4 linked regions of the Drosophila melanogaster genome follow. The protein of the gene in region 3 interacts with the protein of the main gene of each other region in a pairwise test. Each region holds a gene or a part of one and is shown on either strand. Other genes may lie near its edges.

The links.
Region 1: the proteins of tx (region 3) and Cpr66Cb interact in a two-hybrid assay, tested with the Drosophila melanogaster proteins (one large-scale study listed by BioGRID).
Region 2: the proteins of tx (region 3) and CG13488 interact in a two-hybrid assay, tested with the Drosophila melanogaster proteins (one large-scale study listed by BioGRID).
Region 4: the proteins of tx (region 3) and CG13526 interact in a two-hybrid assay, tested with the Drosophila melanogaster proteins (one large-scale study listed by BioGRID).

Annotation. Positions count from the first base shown.
Region 1 is NT_037436.4:8,333,297-8,340,253, reverse strand, and holds Cpr66Cb (cuticular protein 66Cb), read right to left. Parts: upstream 3,583-6,957; 5' UTR 3,518-3,582; coding exon 3,506-3,517; intron 2,666-3,505; coding exon 2,426-2,665; intron 2,343-2,425; coding exon 2,106-2,342; 3' UTR 1,659-2,105; downstream 1-1,658. Other genes in the region: Pex2 (peroxin 2), read right to left, coding at 79-378, 433-864, 920-997, 1,064-1,099.
Region 2 is NT_033778.4:21,948,660-21,954,839, reverse strand, and holds CG13488 (uncharacterized protein), read right to left. Parts: upstream 3,249-6,180; 5' UTR 3,214-3,248; coding exon 3,070-3,213; intron 2,997-3,069; coding exon 2,436-2,996; 3' UTR 2,278-2,435; downstream 1-2,277. Other genes in the region: CG13494 (uncharacterized protein), read left to right, coding at 68-430; CG43405 (uncharacterized protein), read left to right, coding at 888-1,157.
Region 3 is NT_033777.3:26,437,772-26,445,223, reverse strand, and holds the start of tx (taxi), read right to left. Parts: upstream 4,447-7,452; 5' UTR 3,488-4,446; intron 1-3,487. UniProt on the Drosophila melanogaster protein: Probably plays an important role in the differentiation of epidermal cells into the tendon cells that form the attachment sites for all muscles.
Region 4 is NT_033778.4:22,753,714-22,756,396, reverse strand, and holds CG13526 (uncharacterized protein), read right to left. Parts: upstream 1,179-2,683; 5' UTR 1,073-1,178; coding exon 608-1,072; 3' UTR 501-607; downstream 1-500.

The sequences.
Region 1 (6,957 bases), on a different chromosome or scaffold from region 3:
TTATTACTTACAGCCCACTTTTCGCTTAAAACTAATAAAAGACATATAAAACCATCACATGCACTATATTCCTATTTATCAGACACTTTGGATTCCCGACTCAGGACACGCAGAACCGCAGTTGGGGCAGCAGAAACTGGCATCCGTTAAAACATTTGCATTAAGGCAGTAATAGCAATAAATATGACCACAGCCCATGTGGTGGGGCAATGTGGGTCGCTCTCCACAGAATGTGCAGGTGGTGCTTAGTGTCATCTGCGGCGCCAGGAAAGCCGGACCATCTCTATCCTCTAACCGTCGTCCGGAAAATGTCCATGATTTTAGCACTCTTTGTAGCTTACGGAAATTGATGATGGGCAACACCAGTCCGAGGATTTCCTATAATATACACTGTAATATATATGTATAATAAGCAAACTAACTAACACGCACCATAAATCCTCCCCACAGCAGCTCCCTCGTTAGGTACTTGTAGCCAATGTCTCTCCTTTGATTGTTCCGCAGACTAATGTAGTCCAATCCCAATAAGTAGTCCACCAAAGTGGGTTTTCGTCCTGTCTTCAGGAACCGAAAGTAATTGAGGATGTTCAGTATCAGGGCACTGTTCTCCACCCACATAATCGCCTCGCTAAACCATTCTACGCGCCTTGTTAAGCGTCGCTCCTCCCAGCTCTTCACGTAGCCCGGCAAGACGGTCAGGATGAAATGGAGCACCAGCCTGGAAACGGTCAGCTTTTCGGCATCGTAAGCCAGAACCAGTAGCTGTTGGCCAAAAGTGGAGCACCGCTTGCCGACGGAACCAAACCAAATTGCGGATTGAATGATCAAGTCGAGCTCCGGTTGGATTTTGATGAACAAAACGGGCTGTGAGAGATATACAGTATATATTGGCCAATTATGGTAGTGTTCATATACTCACTGAGATGGCTTGCAAGTTCTCCAGCAGATTATCGCGTATCAGGCGGGCAATGTCCTTGTTCAAATAGATGGCATCTATCTAAAAGGTAAACATGTATAATTTTAGTGGTTTTAATTCATGAATAGCTCACCATAATTAGCTCACCTGATTTACACGTGGTACATATTTGTTTTTCTCCATTATTTTGTTTATATTCTTGCCTTTGGTTAGCTGACCATTGATATATTTCTTATTTATATGTACTCTGCCCTTTCTTATCAATTAGAGATGGCAATTGTAAAGAAAGTTTACTAGTCATTATCGACATTTTTAAACAGTGCTGGTAAACTATATCGACAAACCCCGCCAAATTTAAACTAGCCATACTAGCAATGCGGTTTGATTTTTTATTTATTGCTAATTGAAATCAGCTTATATATCAATTACATCGACATTTCGAAGAAACTCCAAGTCTTTTAACCATTTAGGAAGCATTTTCCGTCAACATTTCAATTAAGGCTTATGCAATTTCAATGAAAACAAATACAAGAAACCACAATGAACTGAAGAACTCGTTTGGGATCCGGAAAATGTGTCTAACGATGTCTGGTAATTTGTGGAAATCTTGCCCATTGCCGTTTACGTCTGGAAACGCATAAACCAGTTGGTCAGCTGAGACATTTGGTCATTTGTTTGAGGAGTGCAAGTTCAATGATTGGCCCCGGCTGAAAAAATTATGGCCAGTGGTCGGGTGAGTTTTGATTTTATAAAAAGTACATAATTCACACTTTATTACACAATTTACAATTTCTTCGTTCGATCTCTGTTTTACGAGAAGACATAAGTATACATTACAGTTTACAGATTATAGATTATAGATTAAAGATTAAGGCAAACAGTCGAGTAGTGATCGGTAAATTCGTCTGAGCAGGTAGTGACTAAGGATCAGTTGAAAGCGGAAGATACACATAGAAGTTATTCGCTATCACAGAATAAAATACAATATACAAAATGTTAATGAAATGGCCATGGACAGGATGTGATCCTTGGCCTGGGTGTGTGCTGATGTCCTAATTACGAGATATGAAGCTGATTCCATGGTCGACCGATGTGGATATGCTTGTCCCTCCTCCTAGTCCTCATAATCCTCCTCCCACTTCCGGCTGATGAGCAATTTGGCTAACTCTAGTGCGCAGTGTGTACTAGCTTAGTAGTGGTGTTCGTGCAGCTCCTCATGATGATGCACTGGAGCGGTCTTGTGGACCACGGCGTTGAATCCATTGTGCTTGTCGGCGGTGTAGTCCACGGTGCGGATGGAACCATCGGGCTCCACCAGGGAGTACTGTCCCTTGACGGTGTCACCATCGCGGGTCTCGTGCTGCGACTTCACATCTCCGGTGTGGAAGTCATTCACGCCGTACTTGAAAGCATATTTGGGAGGAGCCTGTTAAGAAACAACATTTCATCATCATCATCTCTTTGATTATAGTTTATAGTGTAATTTTGAATTTCAGAAACAATACTCACATAGTAATCCACATGTTCATCATGTCCGTGAGACTCGTGGGTCTCGTAGTGGGGCTCAGCGTGTTCGAGGTGACCGTGCTCCTCGCCCAGTGAGATGCGTTCGATTTGATGGTGGCCATACTCATGGATGGGCTCCGGTTCGTGATGGGCCAGGTGCTCATATCCATGGCTCTCCTCGTAGTACTGGTGCTCCAACGGATAGGCGAGGCTCAGGCACAGAGCCGAGGCGAAGATCAGATACTGCAAGATCAGATAGGTGGGTGCATAATTAGCAACTAATTGTTTCCGTTGACGGAGTGTGTGTAGTTGCAAGTGCTGCAATTAGCGTTGGAGGACTTGCTGGCCACAGACAGTAGCTATCCATGTTATGGCTGCTTTGCAATTTCGGACTTTTTCCTCTTGCTGGTCTTAATGAATTCATAATCAAGTGTTTGCTGTGGTCGACTGACGCTTTTGTTTGGATATACTTTTAGTGGTTACTTTGTGGTTTACTGGCTGACTGCAAATTTGTTGGTTAACTAAGCGGGAGGTTTATTTAACTAAAGCAAAAGTGTGAGTTTTTTCCTAAATCCTAAAACGATTTACTTTAATAGGTGCTTTTGTTTGAACTGTGGTTTTTGAGGTTGTCTTTAAATTGGTTTTTTAATTAGCACAAAATAGCTAAATTGATTTAGTGAAATTTTGTCAGGATGATTTTTAAACTGAAATTTAGTGGTCCTGACGAATATTTTACTAAAAGCGCCTTTCTTTGAGCTCCTAGTCTGTCATTCTCTACATTTATAATTTTTCTTTAGTATAGTAAATAGTACAGTATCCTATTGTTCCGATGTTTAATAAAATTTGTTTCCATTAAAAATCATTGCATATTGAAATTAAAAATCACATTTTTAATATGAATATCCTTTTAATGATTGCTGGAGATTTGGAACACCTTTTCCACTTCGTTCACCACCAAATCACTTGGTTTCTTAAATATCACTCGATCCTCAGATCGTTTTGCTGTATCCTTTAGGATATTTTTTTGCTGTATAGTTTGTTGTTCACAATCGTTATCCTTTATCCTTGGCTGCTGCTGCTCACCTTGAATGCCATTTTAGTTTGAGTTTTAGCTCGCGATTTATTTGGAGATCACTGGTTGACTGCACGCAACGACTTTTCACCACTGAATAATGTGGTTGCAACCAAAATGCGCCGCTTTTATATGGTTAGGAAGAAAGTGAATCGGCTGGCAGCGGTGGTTCGGTGGCTCGGTGGATTCAAGCAGCGGTGGTTTGCAGCAGCGACTTTGCTGTCTTCGGTGAGCGGAGCGTCTCTTGAACCGAATGTAAAACAGTTCACTTGTGGTTGTTGTTTGCCATTGTTTGGGGTTTGATGTTTGCAGCCCCAATGCACTTAGAATAAAAAGTCGGCACAACTCAGGAAAAATATCGAAAATCAACAATGATTACATGAGAATAGAAACAAGAAAATGTGGTTCTAAAATTTTATAATTGCCCACAATGGAAGACAATATGCCATACAAAGGTAATAAAGTTCTCTACATTTATGACAAATATTACATTTTTAAATATTTTCCTCTTATTTTTATAGATTATTTTATATCTAGCAACATTATATTGCAACATTTTCGATAAGTGCTTGTCGTCCAGGACTCTTTGTGTGCCATTAGTGACGCATGCGATGGCGTTGATAAGTCGTCATCAATGTGGCTGATCGGCAGTTGCAACATTGCAACAAAACCCCATCCCCCCAATCCATCTCTCCCACCCCAGCGAGCCCAAGTTTGTTAATATTTTGGTATTTTCGCTTTGGCCAACTCGGCTTGGCAGCCTATTTGCATTGCAGGTCTGCATTGTTGCCGTGCAAGTGGGCTCATTAAACGCAGTTTGACCCAAATTTCGGCTTGATGATTTTCGTGGCTGCTGCTGGGCAACATTTTTGGGGCAACCTTCTATTGCGGCTAGCCTCCGGTTAATCGTTCACTTTTAATGCGCTGATTTTCGTAAATTCGTAACTGGTAAATAGCATTAGATTTGAATTGGGTCTCCAGGCTGTACCAATAAAAGCCAATTTTGTAATATTTAATTGTTTCACACAAAACAGAAGTTTTGTTCGCAGCTCTTTTGTGTGTGTGTGTGTGCTTGTGGGCCTCACACACACACTTTGGCTGCCACGTACTTTAATTCAAAGTTAAGTGCCACAATTGCGTTAAAGAAAAATTAACCAATGCTAGCTATTTTTTGGGTCTTTCGTCAATTTGCAATTGGTTGGCGCTAATTAGGCAGCGAAGCGTGGAATTTAGTGACTCTAAGGTTCTCACCTCGAAGGTTGAGGCAATCGTTTTGTCAAATGCATTCAGGTGTTTTGTTTCTCAGCAACAATATAATTCCAGTTTGTTGTAACTTAAATATATTCACTAACAAAACGAAAAAAAAAAACTTATGCACACTTTTCGTTATAAAAAGCATTAATTTGTGTCAATCCAGTCCTCATTATTTTCCCACAACTTTAAGGAAAATCCTCAACATGTTTTCCCCTATTTAACTCCAAATTCCTGCCCATCATGCACTCGTTCAACTCATTTCATCCATCTCTGTAATCTAGTTCATCGGCAAGTTGTTTGCCAATAACTCAAGAAATTACTTGGATTTGTATGGGAATTTCGTGCAGTTTTTCAGCCAACCACTTTGCATAGCCCCGATTCACAAGCTCTTTTTTGGCAGATCAGCCATGGATCCATGGATCCGTGGATTCAATCTGGTCAAAACGAAACGAGTGTCATCGGGTTGATGTACTCTTAAATACGAGCACAATTTTAATTGCTATATTATGGTCGACAACGTTTGACAACATTGCGAGACATGACAAACCGAAAAACTCGGGGGATAAAAACAAACATTTTTGTCCACGATGATTACCAATCCAATCCGCAGTAAATCCCGATGCAGCGCAAGAAATATGGCAAATAAAATAAATGCTTAATTATGGCCCACGATTTGGGGTCTACGTCTGCTGTTTTATGTTTATATGTTTAGCTGGAGAGCGTTGGCGTTGCGGCAGGTGAAAAAAATAACGCAAGTCAACATGCCACACTCGACAAACGACTGCAGTCGCCTTTGCGGCATTCCCCATGGACATACAGTCACGTACCGCACTGTATCTGCCGCTGCATTTGGCAATTCGACGAAGCGCCGCAAATTGAACGCATTGCTGATACAATTTTGAGTTACAATTTGGTGAACTTTCCAAAGAGAGTCCATCGAATATGGCGGAAAGTTGGGGATGTACATTGTAAGTGTACTGCAAATCAGGTACTTTTAACCCAATGGAAAAATAAGCTTATCTAAATTCCTAAACATGCAAAACATCTAACAGTAGACTATTAATCTCTCAAGGGTATACAATGTTGTCTATTCATTTTTTGGCCATTTCACCCATTTCTGTCTTGTGATATGCAACAAATTTTCGTCTGATTTCGCTGCCACTTATCGACTCAAAAATTGTTATTTTTCCTCGCTGTCGTTGTAATTGCACACCAAATTTTCATTTTGCTGGCCAGCAGGTGTTAATTTTTTGGTTAGCTATAGTTTAGATTCACTTTGCTGTAATTTTTCTTTTTTGCCTGGAATGACTTACTTTTACCCAGAGCACTTGGGCACTCAATCAATTCCCACTCACAAAAGTGAAAAGTCAAGACGCGTTGTTGCTGCTTTTGTTGGTTATGCGCATGCGCGCATGTAACAGCTGCAGGTAAGCAGGCCAAGCAATTACCTAGTAACTCATATTTACCGTTAGACATTTAGTACATGCATTAACTTGGCCAAAAGCAGTTGAAGTCCTCCTGCCGCTACAGCAAAAGCCGAAGCTATAGCTATTTCTGGTGTACATTTGCGACATCGGCCAAACAAAATAAAACAAAGCAATCGGACAAAAAGTTTGTCACACTGCAAAAAATATCAAGAAACATTTCTCTGTTTGTTAATGTATTAAGGAACCTAATCTTAAGGATTATATGTGCTTTAGTTGGTTTTGATCCATAGTCATAGTTTTATTTATGTTATATTATGTTTTATTTTATTTTTTTTTAAGTAAACCCATATGCGTTTTCCTTTCTTAAGTCAAATACAATCGATATTACTAGTTTTGCTCAGTGTACCTTAAGCGATCGCTTGCAAACATATTACAACAACAATGGCTGGCAATCAGCAGCCAACTTTGACTTTTGTCTCATTGTTTCATATTTATTAGAGTCCCGGCTAAAAAACCTTGCAACTCAACAAGCCAGCGACGCGTGCATCTTTCCAAAATTGCTGTGGGAATTGGCTTTGGCTTTGGCATCGTATTTTGGCCACTACTGCCACCGATCGTCGCCGATGTTGCTCTTTTAATGGTTATCCTTTTATGCGGCCCGAACTTACGCAACCAAAACGGCAGCTGCTGTAATTGAAAATTACATTCGAGGAGCCCAGTGGTGCCAGGGCAGCCCAACGCATTCAATTACCAGCAATTTATATTCGTTTACTCGCAGGCAA
Region 2 (6,180 bases), on a different chromosome or scaffold from region 3:
GTAATTTATTCTAATTTACAATAAGCTAAACGTTAAACATTTCAATACCGTCAACAAGTGATTAATCATGGATGACACATTATCAACGGTAGAAGGCGGGATGACGGAAACATCCTCATGGAGCACCACGATCGCCACCACCACCACTACAGAGGCCGCCAAGGCGGGTAGCATGGCTGTCGGTATTATTGTCCTGATCGTTGTTATGGTGCTCCTCTGCTGCCTGCTCATCATCTGCCTGCCGCTCCTCTGCCTGTGCGGCTGTTGCGGACTCGCCTGCTCCGCGTGCCTCGCTTGCGACGAAGGATGTTGTGGTGAAGGCGGCGGCGGTGGATGTTGCGGCGATGACGGCGGTGGATGTTGCGGCGATGGCGGCGGGTGTGGCGATTGTGGCGACGGCTGTGGGGACTGCACCTTGGACGATGATTAATTCGGCGATAATTCAAGTTTCTATTAATATGTACGTAGTGCTAGGATATGCGATTCGAAAGCCTATAAATTTAATGTGCTCAGGTACAGATTCGTTAGGAGCATCCGTATGCTCATTGGCAAAATTGTTGTCTATTCATAAAAAATAAAAAAATCTAGCTTAATTTTGAAATGATATCTATTAACTTAATATATGGCAACCAAAAATCAAATTTAAAGTACAAAAAAATATCGACTTCAGTAAGCTGCGACTGTACTCTTAAAATTAAAAAAAAATCTATACCCAAAATAAAATTTCTGAAGGGTCAGGGTCATCGAAATTCTTAAGCTGCTATGCAAGGAACGGTGAGAAGCATTCGTTAATTTAATGTGATTTTCCTTATACATATTTCCTTCCATTTAGAGGGTTCAATCTATTATCGAAAGCAACAAAATTTGCAATTTATTTCCCATAAGCTATGGCCGAGTTGGATGCTACAACCCTATCTGAATACGATATTGAATATATAGACTTTAACATGACAACTGTGGCGTACCGTACAACCACTGGACACCCGGATACTAACCTAGGTGCTTGGGGACTTTTGTTCATATTCGTCGTAATTTTTCTTATCATTGCTGCCTGCTGTGCTTGTATGGGTGTTCTCGTCCTTTTTGGTTGTATGAAGTCCTTTCTCTGTTTTCGCTGTAGACGCCGAGGCGACGAGTTTATAGGAAGGGAACCCTGACTGTCGTTGAAATTCTGTCATTAAAACTGAAACTTGTGCTAATAAAATTATATGTTTTGTATGAATCGAAGTCCAAAGGAATTATTTTGCCGACAAATTAATGCGGTCCTGCCAAATTACGGCAGAGTAATTGGAAAAGGATGTACTGAAGTTCAATATAACATTAACCAAACATAATTCTAAGGAGAAACGTCAGGACTTACCAGATTCCTGGACAAGTGGCATCTACCAGTAGAGAATCCTTGGCCAAAGTGCCAGTGTGACAAATGTAAACCGATTAGCCACAGCTGGGGCCGATTATCAGATGGCCCAAAGAAAATAGCCCAGGCCCTACAGAAAATGCCTCAGGTCAGGAATTTCCAGAGCTTTCTCTGCGGACTGTGGACTATGGACTGAGTGCATAAATTCCTGGCATCTCCTGCAGCTGCAGGAAAGACACAAAACACTCGCCCAAGTCCAAGTCGTAAATGCACTCAGCACTTTGTCAGCTCTCAGACAGGAAATGCAGTTGCCATTTTTCTTTCATCCCAGCAAATCCCGTTCACCTCCTGCCTTTGGCCCCCGCCCGGAAAGTCGTTCTGCAACTGTCTACATTTTTCACTTGCCATCCATAAAAAGTATCAGTTTTAGTTTCAGTTTTAGTCCTCGCTTGGCTAAAAGTCTCGTATGTCTTTTGCCTGTCTGTTGGCTCTGTTGTTTTGCTGTCTCAATTTCGCCAACGCTTCCATATTCAGTTTCATAATTTTTACCCAAGTTTATCATCCTCTTTGCCAGGCATGACAAAGTTTTCATTGCCGTCGACACAGGGCCTGGAAAAAGTTTCCTCCAGCTGTGAAGTGCATTAAACAATGCCCTCATACATGATCCGAGTGATGAGGAAGGGGACGTGCTGTGCTAAAATTGCATTTATCGAGGGGGAGTAAGTGCAAGGACACAAAAGGATAATAGCTTCGATGCACTTTCTTACTGCCAGGCGTTGGTACATGTTCAATTTACAAATGCTATGAATACGTTTTCTTTTATAAAGAACATCCACTTTCTAGCCAAGGAACTGCTTAACATAGCAATAATAAATATTACTAAAATACATTCTTAATGCAAATTCAAACTTCGTTCTTATATTGCTTTCATTGATAATACCTCAAGGTCATGGCCGGTTATATTTAAACCACAAACATTCTCTTGCTCCACCCACCCATAAATAATGTTTATAACTCTTCTTATCACTAAACGGCATATCGTATTGCCTAACAATTCGTTCACCCGGGCCGCCGCACTCTAATCTCTGAAATTTCCCAGCCATTTGACGAATTCCCTCAGCTTCTCCAATCTTCGGGGTCCGCCACGAGTCAAGATTTTCCTCCACCTGCGCTCCACAGCCAAACGATCCTCCCTGTCTATGGACTCCAGGTGCTTCCTCAACTTCCGGTATATCAGCTTCTGAAGCTGGGATGTCCGGGTCTGAACCGTGCGCTTCCATCGATCGAATCCGTTGCGCTGCAAGCAAAGCGCAATCAACTGGGTCTCGATACTGGAAGTTCTCAGTGGATCTCCCGTGGTATCCGAATCTAGATAGTCCTCAATCACGCCATAGAAGGCATTTAGCTTCTGCTCCGTTTTATTCGCATTTACGGCAGTGAAGGCATCGAAGCGATCCAAGTAGCCCAACAGAATGGAGTTCTGCGAGTCCAAGACGATCAGATCTTCCACCACATAGTCCACCAGCTCGATTGCCTGGGAAACTAGCTGAGTGCTGATTGTTTGCAGAGCGTAATCTGATTGCAAATACAACCGATAGCGACTTCGATCTCCATAGGTATTGATCAAAGAAGGGGTCAGCTGGAATAATATGAAAGCATTTATATTCAAGCCATAGTTAGTATGAATTGAGTGTTATAAAATGTTAATTAACCAAGCTACACATGTTGGATGATTTATTGCTGTAAAGCTTTTGTTCTGATTTTAAATGTACAGTTGTATGTTTTAATTTAACGATGTTTCGTGTATATTCGATACCCACCACGAGTAGAAAACCTAGTAAATTCTGATAGCTCATGGCCGACTTGTTCCCTCGAAAGGCGTTCGTCTACTGAACATACTCTACTCAATACTCAATAAACTGGGAAACAGAGCAAGTCGTAGATAGTCTTATCTATCTGAAATTTCCATGTTGAAGGTTGGCGCTTGTCCAAAGGAAATAAATTATTTATAATTTCATAAAGATGACACATGACGTCATCAAGTCAATGACGTTTCGTAGGTGAAGAACCGGCAGATAAGTGATAGGAGGAGGTTTATTGGACTTAAATTTATGAATGGACGCCGCCGGGGGCCAGACAGTAGTTATCTGCATTTAACAATGATTTCGATTCAGGCAAGCGTCTGAAGAGTTTTAGCCACTGGCTCTTTATCTCTCACAGAGAGCAAATAACCCACCCAAAGCGGTGAGATATGTGCCCAAATCTAAATCGCTTAGCAACTGAAGATGGCCAGCGAGTGCGGCAGAAAAAGGCGAAAGCTTGACAGCGAAACTATTCATTGCGTATACGCTGCTTGGGCCGTAATAGCAGTGAAATAAAAGTCCACTTAGTCAGCAGTGTGACGGGCAGTGGAAGAGAAGGGGTAGGGAATGGGGGAAGAGGTTGAGGATGCGATATGGGGGGTCATTCATTGTGCTGGGGTCAGACCCTCAGGACAATCGCCTGTATCCGTGTGTGTGCCGTTGTGATAAATGCTTGAACTGGGTCAGTGGCGTACGATGATGAAACTCTGAGCGCCAAAATGGCAAATAAAACGCCGATTGTTCGTATCAGAGTTTCAAATGAAATCCTCTATCCCTGCCCCACAATAAATGCCTCGCATTTGGAGTTTTCGAGTGGCCGACAAATCCCCAATGCGCTGCGCTCAGCAACGAACTGCAATTTCAACTTTGATAAGCGAAGTTTAGTGCAAAAATCCAAAAAAAAAGGGAAATAAAAAAATCACCATCACCCCCGCCATATGACAATGTTATTAGCGTAGTTTTTGCGATTTCCAGGGATTTAAAGCGTTTTTATGTCCTTTTTTTTTTTGTGCGGCTAGCGTTGCGATGGTAACTTTTCAGTGCCGCATCCAAATCCTGATGGATGCGAAAGCGTTGAACCGGTCTAAACTTAATTGGGAATCTGTGCGAAAGGGTGAAGTCCCTGGGATTGTTCAGAATTCCGCAGCCAAAAAATCAAGGGAACATCATCAAGCCCGAAGACTGCTAAACAATTACGTCCTTTGGGGCTGAGAAATCCCAGCGCCTTTTATATGGCGAAACAATAACCGAGAACTTTGCCTCCGGCGAAACAGCCGCCTAACACAAGTGCTATAAATTGCCTCAACAACGCCTGCTGTTTCTCCGCCCAACCATTTCCCCTTTATCAACTCCCCAACCGTTGCATGCAAATTTCAATAACTTGTATTCGGTAACCCTTCCAACAACTGACACTGAATATCAAATATGAGTTGGGGCCAAAAATTATTTGCATACTTTCGGGGATGCTTTGCAGCACTCCAAAAAACAAGAAGAGCGAAACAAAAATTGAGATAATATGCATAGTGCGTTCTGCCTAGGCTCAAAATACCCTTTCTTTTTTTATTGAATACTTTATGATCTATACCATACACCATTTGAAAATAAAAACTATTTTCTTTTGCTTAGCCATGCCAGAAAGAACTTAAAGCTGAGAGTAACACAAGTACCTTAATGGTTTTAAATTTTTTTTAAATTTAAAACTTATTCAACATAACTAATTTCTATAGAGTATTCCAACCGAAGAGGAAGGAACCCACAGGAAGTACAACCAGACTCGCACATGTGGCGCGCTTTGGTTTCGGTGGGGGGATGAAAGCCCTAAACAGGAGCAAAAAAGGATACAGAAGCGAAAAAAGAGGAATCGCTACATGCCTTTGTAAGGGGGTGTAAACAGCAGAAGCAATCCTTTTTTTTTCGTTACACCGAAACGAGTTATTTATTGCATTTGCAAATTTTACACAACATTTTGCAGTTACCTCAGTGCCGTAAAATCCGGTGCTCTCTCCACTTTTCCACCGCAAAAGGTGGAGCCGAAGTTTATCGCGGTAAAAATTGATTCAGTTTGTACACAAATTTGCATGTGTATCGCGGTAGCAGACTCCTCCTCGGGCTTTGTGTAATGCGAAGCTGCAAGTTCAATGAAGCCAAAAGGTGTTGCCTTCCCATCCCTCAAGCCGTGAAATGGATGTGCAAATATTTTCATAAATTTGTATGCCAAAGTTTCAGGTGTCATGTTTGAAAATATCCCAGAGATATTTCGAAATTCCAAAAAAAAAAAAAACGAGAGAAGAGTGCTGGAAATTTGAATTTTGCGGTGTCAATGAAAATTTGATTTTTTACATTCTTGCTTGAAAAATTGCAGCGATAATTTTTGATAGAGTTGTAAATTTCAGTTTGATTCGGAGGAAGCGGTTTATGAAATTGCAACATAATTTATTGTATGGCATAAATATCTTGGAATTTCTTGTGACATTTTGATAAGTGCAAAATTTCTAGGAGCTGTTCGTATTAAATGGAAAAGTTAAGTGAGCATTTTTTTCGTTTAACGATTTGATTTCCCTTTCATTGCTGTTGTTGCAACTCTTACTTTTTGAACCCTTTCCTGAGGATATTTTCCACAAAAAATGTAACTAATTCGCATGTCCTTCTGGTTGCCACTTATCTCTGCTGCTGTTATTTGCTGAAATATGGGGGATGTCAGGCCAAATAAAGGTGACCAATAAAAAGTGTGGCCAAGATAAGCAAAGTGGTGCAGACAAAGCCCGCAAAACAAAACCGAGGGAAAAAAGGCGACTGAAACCAGGTTGGAAAGCTGAACAAAAGCTGGCTATGATTTAAGTTTTTTTATTTCCTCCTCGCGCCAGCAAAATTGATCAAGATATATAGGTGTATTTTGCGGGTAACCTGGTTAAGTGCACAGTCGAGCTGTCAAGATAAGTTCCTTGTTTTAGGTTTCTGGCT
Region 3 (7,452 bases):
GAATATGCTTAGTATCTATCCTCTACTCTACATATCTATATACATATAAATTTCGTTAATACATTATTTTTAAAGCATGGTACGAAACGAATGTCATTCTTTAAAAGACCCGCCCCCAAGTCAGTGGAACCCACTTGAGTTGTAAGGGCATCGTGAAAAGTTTGCGACATGCAACAAACAAGCTGCAATTAAGCGCGCAACACAGAAAAATTTGTGCACCGTCTTCAAAGAGGGGCGGCAAACGTTGTTCACCTGCTCACTCCCCTCGCTCCCCTCCGCCCAATTTTCCCATTTTCCCGCCCTCCGGTCCAAAACGACGTGAAAATTACCTAGTTCCGTGTGCTTAAAGTGGGCCTTTTCGCTGGGTGGGTGGAAAAGCGTGGAAAGTGCAACGACTGTCCGCAATCAACAAATTGCATGCGATTAAAAGTATTCGCGGCTAATAAACGTTTGTTGAACAAACAGCAACAAGCGGCCTCCTGATTTTCGGAGTCGCAACCGGAGGGATACAGGATATGCTGCAAGGAAGTGGAGCAGGAAGTTAGCGGGGCGCAGTTTATAGTGCATAGGGCCTGTTTCGTTCTCTGTTGATTGGAAAATTTGTTGCGCGCTTTTCGTGGACAAAGTGAGCGGTGGGGGGGGGGGAAGGAGGGCGGGGTGGTGCCTCTGCTTAAGTTTTCAATTACACGCCGGCACAATGCAGAAAGCGCCCAATTGAAATGCACAGACAACAAACATAGAACAGTTCCTCTTACACAAAAGCCCAACATTTCATTTTGACACTGAGAAAAATCGGAGGAATGTGAAAGAAATACGTTCAATCAAATACAATAAAGCTGTTATGTTTGATTACTGCTTATAACATTTCAGCTTATCAAACTAAGTTGTGTTTTTGTTATATGATATATTTATAAGATCTCATATTCAAATAAAATGTTGAGCTTTTTGACAACAAAAAATTCTTAAAGTTTTTTTCCTTACAATTATTTGCAGTTGAAGAATTTTGTTTCAGTGCACCCCTTTTCCTGATCCCATTCTCTTTTACCAACAGTTTGGTAGACAAAAGGCGAGCCGTGCGTGCGACGAGGCGTGAAGGGGTCGAGGGGCGGGGCAGGGGCGTGTGGGTGGGTCGGCCCGTTCCACAGATATATAAAATACTTTTTTTTTTTTGGGGAAAATCAGATGGAATGGGAATGGGGACGGGGAAGTTAGCCAGGCCTAGCCGAAGTGCACTTGAAACTACCGGCGAGTGGCTCCTCCTCCCTCTGCAGTCTGCCCTTCACTTTTGGTTCGGTTGCAGTCGCTGCATTTTTAGGTGTAGCCATTAAATTTAGAACTTTTTCTGCACGCTTGTCTGCGCGCCCATGGGTTTTCCGGGGGGAAAATCGGGGCAGGAGGAATTGTTGAATTCAAGGATTTCGGCAGTCGGGTGCGGTTAAATGGAAAATGAAGCGTCTGCTGCTTGGGCACGGAAAAAAAAGCAACTGAACCACATGAGGCATTGCTATAACGAGGGTAGATGACTTAGTTTGAACAATGTTTTCTCTTGACAAGATAAAGTTAGCATGGTAAACGGATCTAAACTTTGATTTATAAATATTAGTAATCCTTCAATTGAAAAAGTAACTAAAGTAGTAAAATCATCATCAAGAACTAAACTTTCAACTTTAATTATTGCTTTTGAATGAAATCCAAAGTTGCTTTGTCTTTCGTAACTTCAAGAGCTGCCCTCTGGACCGATTCGCTATGGAATCTCCGACTGATTCAGATTGTCTCTGTGCCTGCCGTGTTTTTGATTCGTTTTGTTGTTGTTGTCTTTTCCACAGCTCTAAAATTAGTTTTCATTGTATGCAACTTGAATTTTCTTCCTTCACTATTTTCGTTTTCTTATTTTCGTAGCGCTCTATCTATTTTTTATCTGCCTCGATTTGTGATTCTTAATTTGCTTTTTGTGGAAAGCGTCAAAATCTTTCATTCGGCTTCGACTTTGTTGCCGATACTATATACATAGTCACCTATAGTCTATAACCTTTGTTGTTGCTCGCCTAGCTAGTTGCGCGTGTGTGTGTGTGTGTGGTTGCTGTTGTCTCGTGCTGTTGGCTGTTGCCAGTTGCACGTTGCACGTCCCCCTGATGCTAGTCTCGTGTGTGCTACCGTTGGCAGCTATTATTTTTAGCCGGCCTGCGGCAAGTTCTTATTTGTTATTTTACCCATCTCTTTTTTTGCCGTCTTTTGATTTTTTTACGCTTCTTTCCTTTTATTTCGTTTTGTTTTTTCTTCTGTTGATTTGTTGCCATTGCTTTGGCCAAATGATTTTGTTTGATTTTCCATTTACGTTGAGTTTGTTTATTAAAATTGGCACACACTGCGTATGTGTGATGTGGCCGTGTTTACATTCACCGTCTCCCTTCCACCACCGTGTGGATAAATACGAATACGTATGAGTTATATTTTGATAGCTTTCTGTGTGGTTTTGTATTACCCATCGGCTTTTGATTTGCTTGATTTTTTGACAGGTCTCTGGCATTTGCCTACGACTAACTTTTATTTTTCTTGATTTATTCCTGCTATTGTTATTGTTTAAGTCTCTTTGCAAGGAGGGGCGCTGGCTTTTCCCACATACGATCGAGATTTGGGTCAGGGGGACAGCAAACAATGAGGTAGGCAAGTATATATAGGGTAGCAATAGACTCATGTGTCCATAAACTAATTTAATTTTAGATGCACCTTTCCATGGCAGAAAAATCATTAAAATTTGACTCGATTAATGCGTGTATTTTTGGCGAATTTTTTTTTTGTAAATCATAAAATATTTATGACGAATAACATTTTTTAATCATGTATTGAGTCAGCCCATGAGATGCTAGTTTATTTTAGCTTTCGACAAAATGAATAATATATTAATATATTAAATAAATAAATGCCAAATTAAAATCGGCGATTGACTGGCTGCCAGAAACCAATTTTACTCGATTATTTGGGCAAACATAGTGCTTGTTGCCGAATGGTATGGCGAAAATGAAAGTAAATAAATAAATGCCGGCGTTGATTAGCACATCACAGATTTAAAGTGAGTGGCAGGTTAAGCGGGACTCTCATTGATGATGAGAATTCACAGCTTTTGTTTGCACATTAATTAAACTGTTCCCCCTACTTTGGTCGCAAACAAACGCAGCCAAGTTGCTGCTTCCCTTCGGTAACCTTTGAAAATCAGTTGACAACTGGCTGTCGTCGCCGTTTTCCCTGCTGAGCAGCTCGAAAACATTTTCCCCTGCACACATCTGGCTTTTCAACACCTTGGACAAATAAATGTTTCAGAAGTTTCTTAAAAGCCCGCCCTGCCCCATCTGCCAGCCACTAACGTGATTGGACAGAGGAATGCCTTTTGTCTATTTTTATTGGGGCGGCAACAAGAGATCGGGCAGATCTTCTATATCTTTTCTATATCTGAACGCTTATGTCTGATAAATGGCGGCGGTATATTTACCTTTTTGATTTCATAAATCCAACAATGTATGGCTGCGGGATTGGTCTTTCAGGATGATTTGAATTCAGTTGTGCACTCTGATTAAGATTTGTTGATGTTTTTATTTTAATTTTTGGTTCATTAAAGTTGCGCCAAAGTATGCAAATTGAAATTCCGACAACGCGCTGTCTAATTAGTCACCCAACTAATTTTGATATGCGATCTTTGTTTGAATTTTGTTTTGTTTGGACTTTTTTTTATTCTTTTCGGATTTAAAGTTATTAGCTCATGCATAAATTTGGCATGTTAACACAACAAAAAAGGTTTGTTTTCAGTTTTTATTTCCTCAAAAACTTCTGGAACTTGTTTTGGTTTGAATTAATATTGCGGTGGTTGTGGTTGTTGCGGTTGTGATTGCGCCGCTGGTTTAACTATTGATAATAACTTCGGTACGGTTTTCGCGCATTCTTGAGTTGTGTTTATCTTGGGCCTGCTGGAAAAGCCTCGAAGAATGGATTTTCCGTGAAAACGTGCAAGCCGCGTGTGTCAGTGCGGCGGTACTAATGTGTGCGGCGGTGTGCGTGAGGCCGGTTGCTAAAAATATCTATGAGTGCGCGTCGCTCGCGTTCTGTGTATCTGTATCTCGGAATCTGTATCTGTATCCAATATCCCGAGATGGCATACGAAAATACACGGAGAAAATGCTGCGCTGCGTCCGCCTGCTGCGCTTGTCGGCTGTGCACTGAATAGATATATCTCGCGGATCGCTGGGATGGTCTGACTTGGTTTGGCTTGGGATGCGGTGGCAGCTAAATCAGCTGACTACTGCCCCCAGTTGGCTTTGACTCCGTTAGCCAGGTTAGCGGCTCAGGTGGGCGGCGATGGCAGTGGAAGTCGGACTTTTGGCTCACTTGTCCGCTGCGCTGAGCGTGCGGCGCGCTATTGGAACGATCAATGAATGAAATGCCGCATTAAAAGGCAGCACAGTCTCGTTTTCTCAGCGACGACCAATAAACCGAGAAACCCACTGGCGCTCGCCAACGCCAACACAAAACAGCCCAGCGCACAACACAACACAACACAGCACAGCTCAGCACAAAGTCATTGAAGAGAAACCAGTTCTCTCTTTCCCCAAATATCCACATCCACCCGATGTGTGGGTGCTTTTTGCGTTGGCCGGATCGGATGGGATCGTATCGTATCGGATCGTATCGTATCGTACTGTATCGCATAGTACGGTCCCAGTTGGTCTTTGGCGCACTCTCTTGAGTGATTTCCGATTCGGATGGATTTTCGGTTTCGTTTCGAGTGTTTTGAGTGCTACCACGAGTACGCGTAGACGGCCCCCTGAGATTTCGTATGATCTAATATCGCCAGGCAGTTATTTATTTAAATTTATTGCTAATTTTATTTGCTGCTGCAGCAGCGCTTGACATTCATTTGTACAAGTCAGACATTGCTTGAGCTCACTTGAAAATAGTTAAAAATGTTTATTCGCCTTTGATTGAGATGGTATCAGCTACCAAAGCTTGACTTGTGTCGGATCTCCATTTTTAAGGTTGAACTTTGGTTGCCAGACCATAAATGATACTCATTCTTGGTATTTATTTGGATCAACTTGGATTTCGTGGCGAATTATGAGGCACGTCGAAGTAAAGTTCAAGGAAATCTCCTCATTTGTTTGTCATTTAAGTGTTTTAAGAATGGATGGTGGAATTTTGTTGTTTTAACTTTAATTCATGACAAGTATTTAAAGTATTTCCTGTAAGATAATATAAATATATATAATAACAATTCTTCGAAACGTGGTGTTCAGTAATTTTCAGCAATTTAAATTGTAATTAAAATATTTTTGATGGGTATCTGATAGCCGACGCTTTTGACTCCTGTCCATATATTTGGATTTTATAATTTATTCTAATTCGTTTCGATCAGTTTCAGTTCAGATGTATTGGGTGTGTGCACTTCTCAAGTTGTTTTCACATAGCGTCTAATTTCAAAGTGCTAAGCTGATTTCAAAGTCACAATTCAGTTGTTGGAACCCGATTTTTTTTTATTTTTCAACAAAGAATATTGTTTAGAGTCATGTTTGTATAGTTTGTTTTTGCTTGCATTTTGTTGCTTCGCAAATAATTATAATTAACTGAAACAGGCAAATAATTGCAAAATGGATTTGCTCCTGCAGGCAAAACAAGTTGTTTTCTCATTATTGTAGCTATGACGACATACCCGGCTTAAATCTCGAGTTTGCCCCGATATACTCATATACGAGCATTTGTGAATAAATGACTTCGGGCAATAGACCGATCGACTCTGTGACTGACTGGCGATTAATTTATCTTTGTGCTTCTGTCTTCTGTCTGAAGGCGAGTTCGTCATCGTTTGTCGTGTTTTGTTCTTGAGTAAATAAATCATGATGACAACAGTTAAATTTGATTATGATTCTTTTTTTTTTCATGCCCAGAAAGCATACATTTTTCATGGCACAAGGTCGTCACACATTTTAGGAGAGTGGAAAAGTAACGCATGCAACATTAATTTGATTTGCGTGCGAAGGGAGCTGAAAATCAAATTATATATGTACGAATATTTTTGATTAACTGAGCGTATTTAAAAATACATACAAAGTGGCCAAAATGTTGTGTTTCTTTGCTGACAGCTTAATCTGCCGAACGACGACGACTCCCAAAGACAAGAACATGAATAAGCGAGCCATAATTAAAAAAACAAACGTCACTTTTGAATGTTTGTTTTGTGACCAAGTCCAAAAATATATGGGCATGGCCAAAAGGGGCTGAAAACGTGGTAATAAAATATATACATTTTAAAAAATAATCAGTTTTAAATAATTTCTCGCACTTTTACACTAATAATTGCCATAATGCATGCTTGTAAAGACTGAATTTATATAAGTTTAACTAATTGCTACTTAAGTACTAGAATTTTATGGCGTTAATTGTCATTACTTTTAATCTAATTTGAGCGTGAATAATGCCCCTGCTCCACCTGCCATGTCGCTCAATTGCTTATGCAAATGTTCTGAGTTTCAGCTTTGGCTTTGGCTTTTAATTGCCAGCTTCGGAAATCGCATTTGCCTTAATATGGTCAGAAAGCCAGGCGCGATGCCCAGTATAAGTTCGATCAAAGGGGGGCCCCAAACGCTATAAGCCATCAGCTATTAGCCCCTTCCCTCTTGGCCCACTTGGATGGCCGGCGATCCCGCTAAGGAAGTCTGTGAGACGTGTCTGCGACCATTTATGGCCATCGCACGGGAAAGCAGTGAGAAAGCAGAGACTTTTGTATACAAACTCTCTCGACTCGGCTAATTGTGAGCATCGTGGGGCTTCGGGCCAAGCTTCTGAGCTGGCTGTTTTGTGTGTACTGTTGCTACCTTGTCGGCTGTTAACTTTGTCTGCAGCCTCGAAAAAGCGTTGGTGTCGCTGAGTGGGCGGCGACTGGGTCTTGAGTCAACGTTGATTTTGTTTTATATTTTACGTAAATTTATTATTACAAATATCGTTATTGCCGCTTTCAAGCGGAAATACACTCGACTTGGCCAGCCCACGCTCCCTCACGGTCATAACCACCTGCACAGGTTATCTTTTCGTTCTGCCTGTATTTCTTGTTGGCTTTTGGGAAGTGGAAGCTGGCTATTTCGAGTGGAATTGGACGAGCGGAAATGCCAGGCGATTAAGTTGTTGTTCCTCAGCTCGGTTACGTTACCTTTTTCTATTCGTCTCATTTTTAGTGATAATTAATTTTCGTGAGCTCTGTGATACTGCTGATTTGCATAAGTGAGGGTCGCGTGGGTGCGGGGCATATGAATCAGTTGGTAGACTTATGAATGGCATAGTAAAGTTACTTTGTTAACTTTCACGGATTGACAATAGGCAATTATTGCAATGCGATTAACATAAAAATAAATGAAATTAACTCTTTAAGTGCTTTTTATTTGTCAATGCTGCAGGTATTTCGATTTAATTGGT
Region 4 (2,683 bases), on a different chromosome or scaffold from region 3:
CGTTCCTTCTGGATAAGCTCCTTCTTCATCTTCTAGCTCTTCCCCTACTGTGAGCCCCGCCTGCAGCGCCCAGCCAACTGGCAGCTGACTTGTTTACACAACACTTTGCATGTGTGTTTGTGTGTGCGGCCATTGCACATGTGTCCATGTCCATGTCCTGCAGGGGGAGTGGCAGGGGCGGTGGCGAAAGGATGGCAAAGTCAGCAAGCAAAGCTCTGGCGGCTTAATGGACGAAACGTGCTGTTGAATTAATTTCTGGCTTTATGCTCTCAATTTTTTCCTTCCGTTTTCCATTCAGCCGCCTTCGTTTTTTCTGCCAGCAGGCAGAAATATATGTACGTCTATGTATTGAATTTCAATTTTTAAGTACTTCAAACATTAAGCCCTACTAAAAACAAAATAAAGAACATTTTAAATAAAAAAAAAACCATTATAAAATTAAACGAAAATTCATAAACACTGACTGGCTTTTTACACAAAAATTAAATATATTAATAATTATGAAAACAATAATTTTTATTATAATCTACAATAGATTTGTGAGATACATTTTTGTTTGTTTGCTTACTCTGTATGAAAAATGTTCAATTTTGCTTGCTGTCTCAGCTCAAATGGGGCTGTGCATAAAGCCTACGAAATCGCGCAAGCTTATGCGACCATCGCCATCCATATCGACTGCTTGGCAGATATCCTTAATATCGTCATCGGTTACGACTTCGCCCAGGACGACCATAATGGCACGAACATCCTGGACGGTGACGTAGCCGTCGCGATCGCGGTCAATCATGTTAAAGGTCCGGCATAGACTTTTATCACTATCCACATTGGCCATTCGGGGCGCCATCATGCGTATAAATTTTTTCAAGTCCAGCCTCTCCTCGTCTCTCACAGCCACCGAATGGATGAGATCGTACAACTCTGCCTCAGTGATTTCGTAACCCACTGATATTAGAGCCAGTCGCACCTCGTTGGCTGATAATGTGCCATTCGAGTCCAGATCATACTTTTCAAAGGCATCCCTCAGTTCGTCGATATGCTCATTCGTCAGCTCATTGCCGGAAAAAGAAGGCATGGCACTAGCAAATAAAACCCTAAAGTAGTTCAGGAAAATCAGGAATACAAAAAAAAAAAGGAGAAATGGGGAAAAACCGATGTGTATGAAAACTGACAATCAACTCAACTCAACCGAACTCAAACTCTGTTCTCGATGGCTAATAAAACACTTAGGCAAGCAATTGTTGTTGTTGCGGTCACAAACTTTTCCGGAATAATAATGCATCATATACTCGTACAAGGGGCAATAAAGGGAAAAAATAAGGAAAGCAGAGATGCTGAAGCATGCAACGTTTGGAGAACCATCCATCAATTTGTCAATTCAGCGCTTGCCTTTGAGTGGCCGTCCATGGGACAGGAATGATGTTAGATGACGATGATGATGATGATGGGCAGTAGTTGTGCTGTGGAGTGCTGGCCATAAAAAATCAAGCGGGCATATAAATTGAAAGGATGCTCTTGTACTAGCTGAAAGGATTTTTTGTAATCCCTGTCCAGTTTCAAGTAATTATATTGAATAAATGCTATCATAGTTGGACTTTTAAATTTCAACCATACTGTGAAATATTTTTGAGAAAATCCTAATTAAGACTGCTGTAATTTCAGCAAATAAGAAAACATTTATTTAACCACACCTTCTGTCTAATGCTTCTACCTCCGCCTCCTCAAATCCCTACAATCGCAGGGGACGCGAAGCCACTGACTTGTCAGGGATTTCTAGGCTTAGAAATAAGTTTTCCGACAGCCCATTTGATTCATTCAACTTTGAGGCCTGCTCTTGTTGCGTTCATTCCCCCAAAGACTTTGAGCCGGATGATAAGCAAATGAAATGTTGTCGCCGTCCCACATGACGAATGATTAATGACACGAATGATACATTTCTCCCGGGGGCAAAAACCACGCGCCACGGCCAGTCAAAAGTTTAAACCCAACTTTAACCATGGCAGGCACTTTTTCACTCGGTGTCACGGTGCCTGGCTGCAAATTTCGCTAGTCAGAGCTTAGTGGGGGATACTGTTTGCAAAGTGACTGAGTCCGGAGTCTTCTTCTGCTACATTAGCCTACTTCCTCCGCTCCACAAGCAACAGCCCACTCAGGATTCCTCTGATGCTGCAACAACTTGTGCTTGTGTATTTGCTTAAGCCGAGCTCGCTTTCCTGTTTCCTTCCGCTGCCTTTCCACTTTTCCACATTCCCACCGCTTCCATGAAAAGGGGGTGGGGGCGCAATGGCGAAGGGGCGCTGGGGCGGGGTCTCAGGAAAATTGATTTTGAAATAGTTGGTCTGCCTTTTTAAATTTGATTGACGTTATTACATTACATAACATCGCACACTAAGAGGAAAGGCGAAGCAGCTGGCTTAAGTTATTCATCCATTTAGCCCCACTTAGGGGCGGGGGATGGTGGTGGTTGGCAGCTAGGGGCGGCGGGTGATTGTGACGGGCAACAACAAGTGGAAAACTGTCATTATATTTGAGTTATTGATGGTTTTTTTTTTTCAAAATCATTTTGCAACAATGTTGCTGCTACCCAACCGCACCGACACACTCACACACACACCAACACACTTTAGTCACACGCTGACAGGATCTACTCCCCCTCAACCGCCACCCCCTTACCCTTCCGCACACA